Bombyx mori: one gene and its partners. The protein of the gene in region 2 purifies or fractionates together with the protein of the main gene of each other region. This does not show direct contact. Links are inferred from orthologs where the notes say so. Each region holds a gene or a part of one and is shown on either strand. Other genes may lie near its edges. The genes, in order: serine/threonine-protein kinase RIO3, Rack1 and vigilin.

The links.
Region 1: the proteins of Rack1 (region 2) and serine/threonine-protein kinase RIO3 purify together in Homo sapiens (affinity purification with mass spectrometry; 3 studies listed by BioGRID and IntAct, counting the BioPlex papers as one, with this or other methods). This does not show direct contact. The link is inferred for Bombyx mori from reciprocal best matches to the Homo sapiens genes RACK1 and RIOK3.
Region 3: the proteins of Rack1 (region 2) and vigilin purify together in Homo sapiens (affinity purification with mass spectrometry; 3 studies listed by BioGRID and IntAct, with this or other methods). This does not show direct contact. The link is inferred for Bombyx mori from reciprocal best matches to the Homo sapiens genes RACK1 and HDLBP.

What each region holds. Positions count from the first base shown.
Region 1 is NC_085109.1:1,624,759-1,629,007, forward strand, and holds the start of serine/threonine-protein kinase RIO3, read left to right. Parts: upstream 1-1,430; 5' UTR 1,431-1,617; coding exon 1,618-2,946; intron 2,947-2,978; exon of another isoform or gene 2,979-3,956; coding exon 3,957-4,249.
Region 2 is NC_085109.1:3,348,200-3,352,422, reverse strand, and holds Rack1 (receptor for activated protein kinase C RACK 1), read right to left. Parts: upstream 2,860-4,223; 5' UTR 2,785-2,859; coding exon 2,676-2,784; intron 2,417-2,675; coding exon 2,208-2,416; coding exon of another isoform or gene 2,202-2,207; exon of another isoform or gene 2,066-2,201; intron 1,957-2,065; coding exon 1,750-1,956; intron 1,417-1,749; coding exon 1,165-1,416; intron 876-1,164; coding exon 693-875; 3' UTR 543-692; downstream 1-542. UniProt on the Homo sapiens protein: Scaffolding protein involved in the recruitment, assembly and/or regulation of a variety of signaling molecules. Interacts with a wide variety of proteins and plays a role in many cellular processes.
Region 3 is NC_085116.1:8,390,256-8,393,909, reverse strand, and holds part of vigilin, read left to right. Parts: intron 1-2,137; coding exon 2,138-2,353; intron 2,354-2,432; coding exon 2,433-2,639; intron 2,640-2,725; coding exon 2,726-2,941; intron 2,942-3,019; coding exon 3,020-3,203; intron 3,204-3,388; coding exon 3,389-3,519; intron 3,520-3,654. UniProt on the Homo sapiens protein: Appears to play a role in cell sterol metabolism. It may function to protect cells from over-accumulation of cholesterol.

The DNA of each region.
Region 1 (4,249 bases), about 1.7 Mb from region 2:
CCAAATTTTAGATTGAAGTTGTTTTCTCAATTCATCATATTTTTCTTCGATATCTGAGTACATGCGGTAATAGTGATCGTTAGACCCCTTCAGCTGAAAGTCAATTTCCCAGTGCAGTTTGTCGATGGACTCCCACTTCGATTTTAAAATGTTAAAATTATCTTCCAGCTCCCACTTTTCACTAGTTCTAATGATGTCAATTTTAGACAATGCATGATAAATCGCATTAAAATTGCATTCTTGTTTATTTAAAAGTTGTTGTATTTTTTCAGATTTTCCGTCCTCGCAGTCTTGAGTGTAGTCAACAGAAATGTCACTTAAATCAAAATTCACACTATGTTTTTGCTGTTTCAAGTATTTAAGTCTGTTGTTTATGTCTGTTTTTGTTGCTAGATACATTTCTTTAGTTTTGTTGTAAACGTCTTCAGAGAAATAATGTATAGTTTTGTCTTCCAGTTCCAGTAGTAATAAGGCATTTCTCGCCTCGAAGTCTCTCCACTGTTCTTCCAAAGATGACAAACGTATGTTGAGGTACTCTTCAGTTTTTCGAGACGAAGAATCTTTGCGGTAGTTTGTACACAAAGTCTTGATATTCTCGAAACAAGTTGATTGAAGTTCAAGTTTATCCATGTTGATGTTATGAAATAATGTGATAGCTCACCAAACTTGGCACGTAGTTGACGGTGACAAGTACAGCTAGGCGTAGTTCACGACACGAAGATCCAATTTTGATAAATTGGTCGTATCCAAATCTCACTATGTTTATGCACTCTTACCCAGTGTGTGCGCCCTTGTCTCAATGCAGCTGGGGATTCTCGCTTGTGAGAGGCCAGCCGAACCGATTCGCCACTGTTGTAAGAGACACAAAAAACATGCGAGAATCCGGCTCGAAGGACCAAAAAAGATGTTGGGGTCCAAGGGGAAGTTTGTTGAGTTCCAAAGAGTTAGTGTGTTGTTTGAGCACCTTTATTATGTCGGTTAAGCACAGATGGTAACGTCTTAACGAGTGCGTGTTGCTAAGTGCACTGCCCTGATAATATAATAAAATAACCTGACACCACAATGACGACGCACGGCGTGTCCACGTATTATTTAGGTATGTGCAAACTGTACATCTTAGTTTGCTCATAGTCTGTTTCAGGTCTGGTTTGAAGCATAAGTAGGTACACTTATTAATTAAGGCCGTTTTCCAATTACAGCACAAGCGCGCATTATGCGTTTTCCAATTACAGAGCATAATGCGACTGTAAATTAACCATTACTTAATGGTAGTTTTCCAATTACAGAGCATAATGCGACTCAGTAACGCACAATGCCGAATTATGCTGAAGCTTAGTTGAGCATTATGCCACATAATGCGCTCTTGTGCTCTAATTGGAAAACAGCCTTAGTGTTTCAAATATGAAGTGTATTATAATAGGTATCTATGTTGTAGTGTATAATCTATGGTCTGCCTGTCTTCCACAGATTATACAGTTATTAATATCTGTCTTGAATTTGCTAAACATATGTGTAGGTACCTACATAATACTACATAATTTAAGAAATAAAATATTCTACAAGTTTATTTATAAATTGTTTAACATTGTTTTTTATTCTAATTAAAACAAGATAGTCATGTCGAATCCTTGGAAAAAAGTGACAGCACCAGTAGAGGCGCAGAAGCTGTCGGATATCATGTCTGAAGAATTTGCAAGAGACCTTCAGGTTAGAGAAGAGATAAAATTTGCAGAACATCTCTCTGAGCACCATGTCGGCACCTCTAATGAAGTTCCAGTTGAGTTGTTACAAGAAATAGAAAGCTGCAACGCAAAGGAATATTGTGACTCTGACGCGATTATTGCAAAAGTTTTGCAATGTCAGTTCGACAGAGAACACGATGACGAAATCAAACGCGTAGAGAAAAAACGTAATGGAGATGCTAAAGTATCCGTTTCCTATGATAATTACCGCAACGTACCATCGCATTTGATTTACGACTCTGAAGACGACGATGACTTTGAGGGCGATAAGAAAGACTGGGATCGCTTCGAAACAAACGAAAAGGAATTCGCAAGCCTTCCGAAACGCGGATTTATCATAAAAGATGGAGCAATGGTCACCAAACACGACAGTGTTATCACTGGAAGGCGGAATGCTTGTAAAGTTATGGCATTCCCTCCGGAAGTATGCACTGGAGATGGCGCTGGCTTCGATATGAAACTCTCCAATTCTGTATTTAATCATTTGAAAGAACAGACGAGATATCACAATACACGTAAACATAAAATGTTGGACAGAAAGGAGAGTCAAGCTACAGCCGAAATGGGCCTGGATGAGCCTACTAGATTGATACTATTCAAACTTATTAACAATGGGGTATTAGAGGATATCAATGGTGTCATCTCAACAGGAAAGGAGTCTGTTGTTCTACATGCTAATGGTGACACAACTTATCCTGACTTAGATGTACCTAGAGAATGTGCTATTAAAGTCTTCAAAACAACTCTTAACGAGTTCAAAACTCGAGACAAATACATAGAAGCCGATTATAGATTCAAAGATCGCTTCTCGAAACAAAATCCAAGAAAAATTGTACACATGTGGGCTGAGAAGGAGATGCACAACATGATGCGCTTGCAGAAGATAGGATTGAACTGTCCGGATATGATCTGCTTGAAGAAACATATACTTTTAATGTCATTTATTGGGAAGGATAACAAGCCAGCCCCCAAGCTAAGAGACATAATCTTAAGGTCAGATAAATGGCACAGTGTTTACAATGAGGTTGTGGAGAGTATGCATAAAATGTACAATGTTGGTCATCTGATTCATGCTGATCTATCAGAGTATAACATTCTCTGGTGGGATAATAAATGCTGGTTTATTGATGTTTCTCAGTCTGTGCAACCTGACCACCCTAACGGGTTGGAGTTTTTACTTCGAGATTGTCGTAATATTGTCAATGTGAGTATTACGTTTTCTATTAAGAAAGAAAGAAAGAAAGAAAATCTTTATTCGCCAGAAATATAGTTTACAAGATATAGGACATAGCTTCATATATTTCGCCTGTTTAGGCATGCGAAAATTTAATTTATTTTTATATTAATTATAACACAAAATTTACTAAATCTATCTATTTTTACATTAAATTTAAATTATTTAGGAGTAAAGCTGAATCATTTCTTTATAAATAAATAAAATGGTTTCAACTAAACAGGTTTCAAACTGCTTTATTAATTATATAATTAAAAATATAAATATACGTAGGCTTAAATATGTAATAATATAATTTAAAAAAGCCTCCTAGGCTTGAAGACTTCAGGATGAGGATTCTCAGTACTGGCCTTTTTTATAGTGCTAAATATGTAAGGAATAAAAATCTGACAGATACTTTTTCAATTGATCTTAAAACAATTTTATGAATTTCTCCTACGGTGAAGGCATAATATACCAGTATAAATAACATAGATATACACCAACATAGATAATTTATAAAAAGTAAATTGCTGTAATATCAACGGTAGGAAGCAGCTTGGCTCTGCCCCTGGCATTGCTGAAGCCCGTAGTAGTAGGTCGGTAACCACTCACCATCAGGTTAGCCGTATGCCAACAAGGTCAATAAAAAAATAAAACGGAGTCAGCCGTTATACAGCCAAATTGAGCACAACCTATTGTGTCAAGTTTGGTGGCTCCTTTTAACATCTAATTCTATTTTTGTTAATCTATTCAATAAATAACATCAAAGAAATCCAAAAAAAATGAGTTTACATAAAAACAATGTTCAAGTGGTGATGAAACAATTCAAGTGGTGATATTTTTCATACATTACTTATTTATAATGGTGTGTTGCTCAATTTCATAATTTTATGTATTCATTACCATTATTACAGCAGATATGCTTTATCTTCTATTACTTTAAGGGTTAAAGTGGTATAAAAATACTTTAAAATGTTTAATATTGTTTCTCATTACAGTTCTTTGAAAAAAAGGGGGTCTCACATGTGCAAACTGCAGAAGAACTTTTTAAATCAATAACCGGCTTTAATGAAGTTGATGTGAACTTATTGGAAGGAGTTCATACCACATACAATTCTCTGGCATGCCGATTTGAAATCGCCCCCGATGATAATCGAAACGTTAGCTATCCATTTGAATATTGTTGGCAGAAAACCAATGAAGAGAAAGCTAAAAGTGATAAAAGTGATGATAATGAAGAAGATGAATTTGAGGAAATGTGGAATCATGCTGCCAAAAGTAAAACTGTTGA
Region 2 (4,223 bases):
CTTTGTAGTATTCTATGTTAGAAGTTAAATAGTTAATTATTAATATGAAATAAAATTCAGGTGGAGAAAGAATCAATGCTAGGTTTCATACCACAGCTGCATTGTTTTAACCATCTAATCTGTGGCTAGTCTACAGACAGAAAGCGTTGTAAATAAGGCACTGCTACTCTAGTCCTTTAAGCTAATTGCAGTTAACTGTGACATCTTGATCCAATTAACTGTATTGTGTACATTTATTTTTATATATTAGTGCATACTGTTTGTAACCATAATTTCAATTACTTTTCCATTGAACATATTTATTAAATCTGAAGCTTTAAAAAGAATCTATTTTTGTAGAGAATTATGATTCACTACAGGGGTTGAGGTTGGGTTGGTTTTGTCATTATCCTTTTGTATTTTTGTATGTAAATTTACATTATAATAAATAAAGTCATTTGGGTACGAAAAGGTCGTATTTTATTTACATAACAATACATTAAAATAGGCACTATTCAATTTCTTATCTTAAACTTACAAGGAGATCAATAAAATGCTAGTTTGGAAAATTTACACAATTTCATTTATTTTCATCCTTAACATAATTCAACACCGTCAAGAATTGGAACAAGTAGAAAAATCACTTAGAGTCAATCATCCAAGGAATGAGTAAAGAACACAAAAATAAATGAAATTAATGTTGACAATTAAGCTTATCGAGCTGAGATGGAAACCTGCCACACTCTTATAGTATTATCTGAGTAACCAGCAAATAAGGTTTGTCCATCAGTAGACCATGCTAGGGAGAGACACTGAGGAGGGTCTGTCTTGGAAGTTTGCGTTTGGTTAATGATTTCAGGCCTGAGCTCTTCAACCATCTCCTTGCTTTCCAGATCCTGTAAAAAAGCAGTTTAATAATATGTATTTTTTTAGAAGTGATTTTTTGTTATTTATATTTTCCAAATATATCTTTAACAGCTAAAAGACATTTACAGCTAGATATGCTTGCATAAGTAGTACCCCCATTTACACCTTCAATCACTTTCGACAGAATCCACCAGGTTGACAATCTACTTAGAGGGCATCACTGTGGTACCTTCCAACGCATGGTTGGCACTTATGAATTATAGAACCTTAATGGAAAATATTTACTCAATTTTAGTTATTAATTAAATCGATACATACCCAGATCTTGATGGAAGGTCCGAAAGCAGCACATAGCCAGTATCTGTTGGGTGAGAAGCACAAGGCCGTGATGATATCATTGTGGTCTAAGGTGTGGAGGTGTTTGCCATCGTTCAGATCCCACAACATCGCCTTCATATCCTTACCACCAGATGCACACAAAGAGCCATCAGGTGATACAGTAACAGTGTTCAGATAGCCAGAGTGACCCAAATGGTTAATCTTGAGCTTACAGTTAGTGAGATGCCAGACCTGTGCACAAAAAAAACCATTGATTAAGATTTATATAAACAGATTCCTAGAATAAGTTTTTTATTTGTTAGAACTTTAATATAAAGCTGAACATTCATATTTACTTAAATTTGAATTATGAAAAATCTATAATTAGGCTCATGAGGATTTGTATATTAGCTTTTAGGTATTCCTCAGGAAGTCTTTTTTTTTGGATGAGACAAGTACCTAATATATTTTTCAACAGCTGTGAACGCTAAACGATAATTAACGAACTAGATTAGACTTTTGATACATCTAAGCATTGAAGGAATCAAGGCAATTTATAACCCTTTTCATAAATAGTACACTAACCTTGACAGTTCTGTCCCAACCACAGGATACAATAATGGGGTTGGCATGATTGGGTGAGAATCTGACACATGACACCCAATCGCTGTGTCCATCATCTTGGATGGTATACTTGCACTCCGCAAGGGTGTTCCAGAGTTTGATAGTCTTGTCGCGAGAACCAGACACTATCTGACGGTTGTCAACTGAGAAGGCTACCGAGAGTACATCCTGTGATATAAACAAAAAACTTATCAATTCAACTACACTTAGAATTGTTAACAGACTGTTGTATGATGGTCGGTATATTTACAATACTATAATTATACTACCATCTTACCTCAGACTTTTACAACACAAACACAATCTTCTGCCTCGCAAAGGCACAAAACACTGGTCTTCTGCCTCGCATAGGCACTTAGGATTATCTTCAGTGCATAATCAGCATTTACACCCTAACAAAATTAAGAGTTCTGTCACACCTTAGTATGGTCCTCGAATCGTCTGGTAGTCTTGCCTGCAGCGAGATCCCACAAACGCAAAGTCTTGTCCCAAGAACCGGAAAGGGCGTAATTACCGTCACTAGACAGCACAACATCAGAAATGAAGTGCGAATGACCGTATAAACGCTTTTGAGGTATACCGTAGTTGTTTTCGTCTCTGGTCAGCTTCCACACGATGAGAGTTTTGTCTGAAGATAAATTTCAAATTTTATTCGAATGTCTCATTTTCTATATGTATATTGGATCCTACAGTAACAAAATATTCAGCCCCATATCCGCTTGCCGCTCACAACAATCGCGTGGCAAAGTTTTACTCATCATGTTATTTTGTTGGTAAATGGTAGTATACAAGAAAACTGATACGTATTTAACCCAGGTTATTGCATATTTGCACGGTTATTGAGATAATGATTGTAAAGATGTATCTGGATTTATTAGCAAACTTACCTCGAGAGGAAGATAAGATCATGTCCGGGTATTTCGGATTAGTTGCAATTTGAGTAACCCAGCCATTGTGGCCTCTAAGAGTTCCTCGGAGTTTTAATGTTTCAGACATTTTTGAAAATGGTTTGAAGAGCGACGACTCCCTGAAGCGTCAGGTCCGGTAGCACGTGTTAAAAGAACACGAAACCTACGGTGATGGCCGACCATCGACCGCGAACTAGAGATGCCCAAATCAGTCGAGTCAAAGAGGCGACAACTTTTCAGGGTTGACCTAGTCGACTACATCGATTGTAAAACATCGCGATGATTTATGAAATCAATTTTCTAAATTATTAATCCCGTAGTTGAATAAGAGACCATTACTATAAGGTAATTTGTGATTTTTAAATGGAAATCTCGAAATTGATTTACTACTCGCTGGGGCAAATGGCCGGCGTCCGAGACAAATTGAAGCCACAAATCGAAACGAAAAATCTGTCTACTACTGCCGAGTGTGAAGCACGATTTAAAAAAAAAACAATTTTTTATATTTGAGAAATTACCGGTGGCCCGGAGGCCTTTCCAGTTTTACCAGGGCAGGTGGGCGAACAAGGGCTCAGCCAGAAAGGGTGGGATTTACTCGAGCGCCTCCAAAGGAGACCTAACAACTTGAGGGAGCTCATATAGAGTCCCTTCTTTATTTCGCCGTAAAGTCGTGTTTTATATAATTAACACCACAGTTGAAACAATATAAATTTTATTGTTGTAGCGACATAAACAATTCTAAGTAATTATATTACATTAGTTATTAAACACATTATAAATTATTTTTACGTTTTAAATTTTCGGCGGTAAAAAGGTCCCGTGTCACAGACTAAATTCTTTTACCTCTCGTGCATTCTGGCGTACGCATCATAAAAAGGTGCGTTATTGAACGCCACAAACTCAAGAACAGCTGCTTCACGAATAAATCTACTACCGGATCGGAATCGCGACCCGCTGAGAAGATCCGGCGAGAAACTCAGCGAGCTAATGCCTAGGTTAGGTTGCAAGTCGAATTCTTTGTCGAGTTCGACGAGTACGGTTATCGAAAAACCGAGCGTGCTTTATCACACGAAAGAAGTAAAACTTCTTTATACCCATCCCTATGTGTATATATATACATATATGGTTCTAAGGTCTCAGTATAGTTACAACGGCTGTCCCACCATTCAAACTGAAGAAATAGGCAGAGTACGCTCCAGGCTGGTACCTACCCGTGCGCTCTCACAAGACGTCCTACTACCAGTAATTATGCAAATTTCAATTTTTACTGGATTGATATTCATTAAACGATGTTATTCCTTCACCGTGGAAGTCGATCATGAACATTTGTGAAGTACATATTTCATTACAAGAATTGGTACTTGCCTGCAGGATTCGAACTCCGTTGCATTGCTGGATGCGAATGCACCGGACGTCTTATCCTTTAGATCACGACGACTTGTCTTCGAAGTCTTAATTCTGCATAACGAGTGCCCACTTTTGGGTAACTACCTGTGGAATTTTGAACACCACAGCATGTACGCATCG
Region 3 (3,654 bases), on a different chromosome or scaffold from region 2:
TCTTCACTGCACCTCTAAAAGTAAATTGATATTACACATCAATGCTCTTTTTGACTGTTCCAATAGATCGTTACATAAATTAATTATTTTACATAACAATATTTTGTTAAATGGCTTGCTATAACTAGCAATTTTTTAAATTGATGTCAGAAACACCTTTTTTGATAACCATGGTCAACAGCATGGTTAAAAACAATGGTTATGGTCAAAAGCCATGATAATTTTTTTAACAAATCATTATTAAGCTTGAAGATTAAAACTTTCGTTGTGGAAAAAATCAGGCTTTTACCTTCGGAATTGTTATTTACTCACATAAAGTTATGGATATTTTTTTTCAAAAGTATTTGATATTTAATACCAATCGAAATATGCATCCATGGGATCTGCCAGCGCAGTGGTAAGTTACCAATGCCCTTCGATAAAAAAGTCGGGTGTACTGAGCTAACAAACTCTTCAAAGACATTTGCACTGCTTCTCGGGTATTGATTTTTCCCTGTCAAGAAGTTGTCCAAACTTTAGAAAAAGCAGAAGTCTGTCGGCGAAAACCTGGTGAGAACAGTGGACAACGCAAAACTTCCGATCCTCCTGTAGCTTCTGTTGTCAGTTGTCTCGTATGAAGTCAAACGTTGTATAGCACTGGGAACCAGCGATTAACTACGACTGGCCGGATATTGGCGAGCTTCTTCATCATCGTATTTTTTTATTGTATAGATGGGTGTATGAGCTCACAGCCCACCTGGTGTTAAGTGGTTACTGGAGTCCATAGACATCTATAACGTAAATGCCGCCACCCACCTTGAGAAATGTGTTCTAAGGTCTCAGTATAGTTACAGTTACAACGGCTGCCCCACCCTTCAAACCGAAACGCATTACTGCTTCACGGCTGAGATAGGCAGGGTGGTGGTACCTACTCGTGTGGACTCATAAGAGGTCCTACTACCAGTAATTACGCAAATTATAATTTTACGGGTTTGATTTTTATTACACGATGCTATTCCCTCACCGTGAGAGTCAATCGTGAACATTTGATAAGTACGTATTTCATTAGAAAAATTAGTACCCGCTTGCGGGATTCGAACACCATTGCGTCGCAAGATAAGAATGCACCAGACAAACGTCTTATCCTTTACTTGAACCAGTCCAGTTTCTCCACAATACACATTCGTAGTAATGCCAGTGCAATTTGTTCATAAGCTGTGATAAGTTAATCGGGCACTAAACCACCAATGACTATAAACTTTTTTGGGATATGTTCTCGTTTGAGGCCTCGGGTGCTGAACCAGGTTCTAACCAACATGACGATTATTAAAAAATCATTTTTCAACGCAAGTGACAGTGCGATTCAAAATCAACGCGAGGCATAGCTTATGCCGTTCGTCGCGCTGGCGATCGTTCAGTTCGTGCAGTAGTTGCAGTACCCACTTAACAAATGTTTACTTTGCCTCTTTAACGCAAATGGATCGATATAGTTTTGATGCTAACTATGAAAGCTGCTGCTAACTCAACGGTAGATTGAGTGAGTATCGTCAGCTTCCACTATCGCCTTTAATTCGACGTTGTTGACTTTGGTTTTCAGGAGACCACGGGGCTCTTTTCTAAAATCAATATTTCCGAGTCAGAAATGTTCAAATCAATGACTTCATTTCGTACATGTCATATTAAACTTAAGATTCGTTTGTACGTTATTGCTACCGCGACGTAACTCGTATTCCATAATTGCTGATATTTTAGTGTCCAAATTGATGAAAAAAATCGAAATGTAAGGAAAAGAAAATACTAATCAATAAACAAATTACTGAATTTGAAAATAGAATTCCATATTTTTAATAATTTCATTCGAATTTAGATTATTTTCCGGTCATACATAAAATAGATTTCAAATTGTATTGTAAAACGGATACTTCATAGGTAAAGATCTATTATAAATATCTATGCTAAATCTTAAACTAGGTACCTATTGAGAATGCATATTTCAATAGTTACCTACATAATTATGATTGATATGTAATTTTACCTAAAGTAGCATTTTTATCAGATAAGACTTAGGAATAATTCTTAATTAATAAACTTCATTCTTATTTAAAACCGAATACATCAATAAAAGTGAAATTAAGTTAATTAGATAATTTTCCATAAGGTTTTCCATGTGCCATATGAAGAACGAAAACTTGACAATGCTAATACTTTTGGTGAGGGAGAATCCTTAAGAACTTGCCATTCCATAACTAAGGATACAGGAGCGCACATCGAAATATCTACCAGCAAAGATGGCAGTCTAACTTTCCTTATCACTGGAAAGCAGAGCGCTGTTCTCGAAGCGCGGCGACAAATTTTGACCCATTTTCAGCAACAGGTAAAAAGAGATGTGAAATTATAAGTAAAAATTAACATTTGGTGTATTTACAATATTTTATGAGCTTATAAAATTTCAGGCCAGTAAACAAATCTCAATCCCTAAGGAGCATTATCGTTGGATCTTAGGAAAACAGGGACAGAAACTAAAAGAACTCGAAAAGGTCACTGCAACTAAGATTAATGTGCCAGGAATTTCAGACAATAGTGAAATAATAACTATTACTGGCACAAAAGAAGGGATAGAAAAAGCTGAACATGAAATCAGGGTGTGTTCTGAGGAACAGGTAAAATATATAAACTTTCTGTTTGTCTGTTAAGTATCAAAATATCAAATAAAGACCAAAGTTCAACACTGACATTGGGTTTTCAGTCACGAAAGGCTTTAGAACGTGTCGTAGTACCGAAAATTTACCATCCATTCATCCAAGGGCCGTACGGTGAAAGAGCAGCAGCGCTAAGTGCCGAAACTGGTGCCAGAATCCACATTCCTCCTGCTTCTACTCAAAGTGATGAGATTGTTATAGCTGGGGAAAAAAATGGTGTGCTGGCTGCAAAGGCTCAAATCGAGCAAATACATGAAGAAATGGTAATAAACATAATATATAAAACACAATATGTACACTATTTTATGCAATGTAACATTAAACAACTTATAATCCATCAGGTAAAAAAATGTGCAACTGTTCGGGTAGAAGTGCCCAAGTCTCAACATAAGTATGTAATTGGAGCTCGTGGTACTACAATCCAGGAAATTCTTAAGGAGACTGGTGTCTCTGTTGAAATGCCTCCAACGGATTCTCCTACAGGCACCATCACCCTTCATGGACCTCATAATAAAATTGGCCTTGGTATGTAGAATAACAACTACATTTTTTTTTTTATTAATGTAGATAGAGTGAAGTTAACAAAAATATGTTGGTATTATATGGCTTCTGGTGTTCATAGCCAAAGTCACAACTTTATTTTAAGTTATTTAAGAGCAAAATAAGTTGTATTTCTTGTATTCAGACATTATATTCCTTACATGTTTTAGCTCTATCAAAGGTTTGTGAGAAAGCAAATTCTGTAAAAACGGCTACTGTTGATGCTCCCACTTGGATCCACAAATACATCATCGGCAAGAACGGCTCTAATATTAAAAAGATTACTCAGGACTTTTCAAAGGTATTCACAGTGTGTATAATATAGTCACATTAATGCAATAGCAAAAATTTTGTTCAAAAGTTCCGTATGCTTGTTTGGTATGCTTTTTTGATAACAGTAATTAGAAACATCAAAATTAAGACGAAATTTATTGCT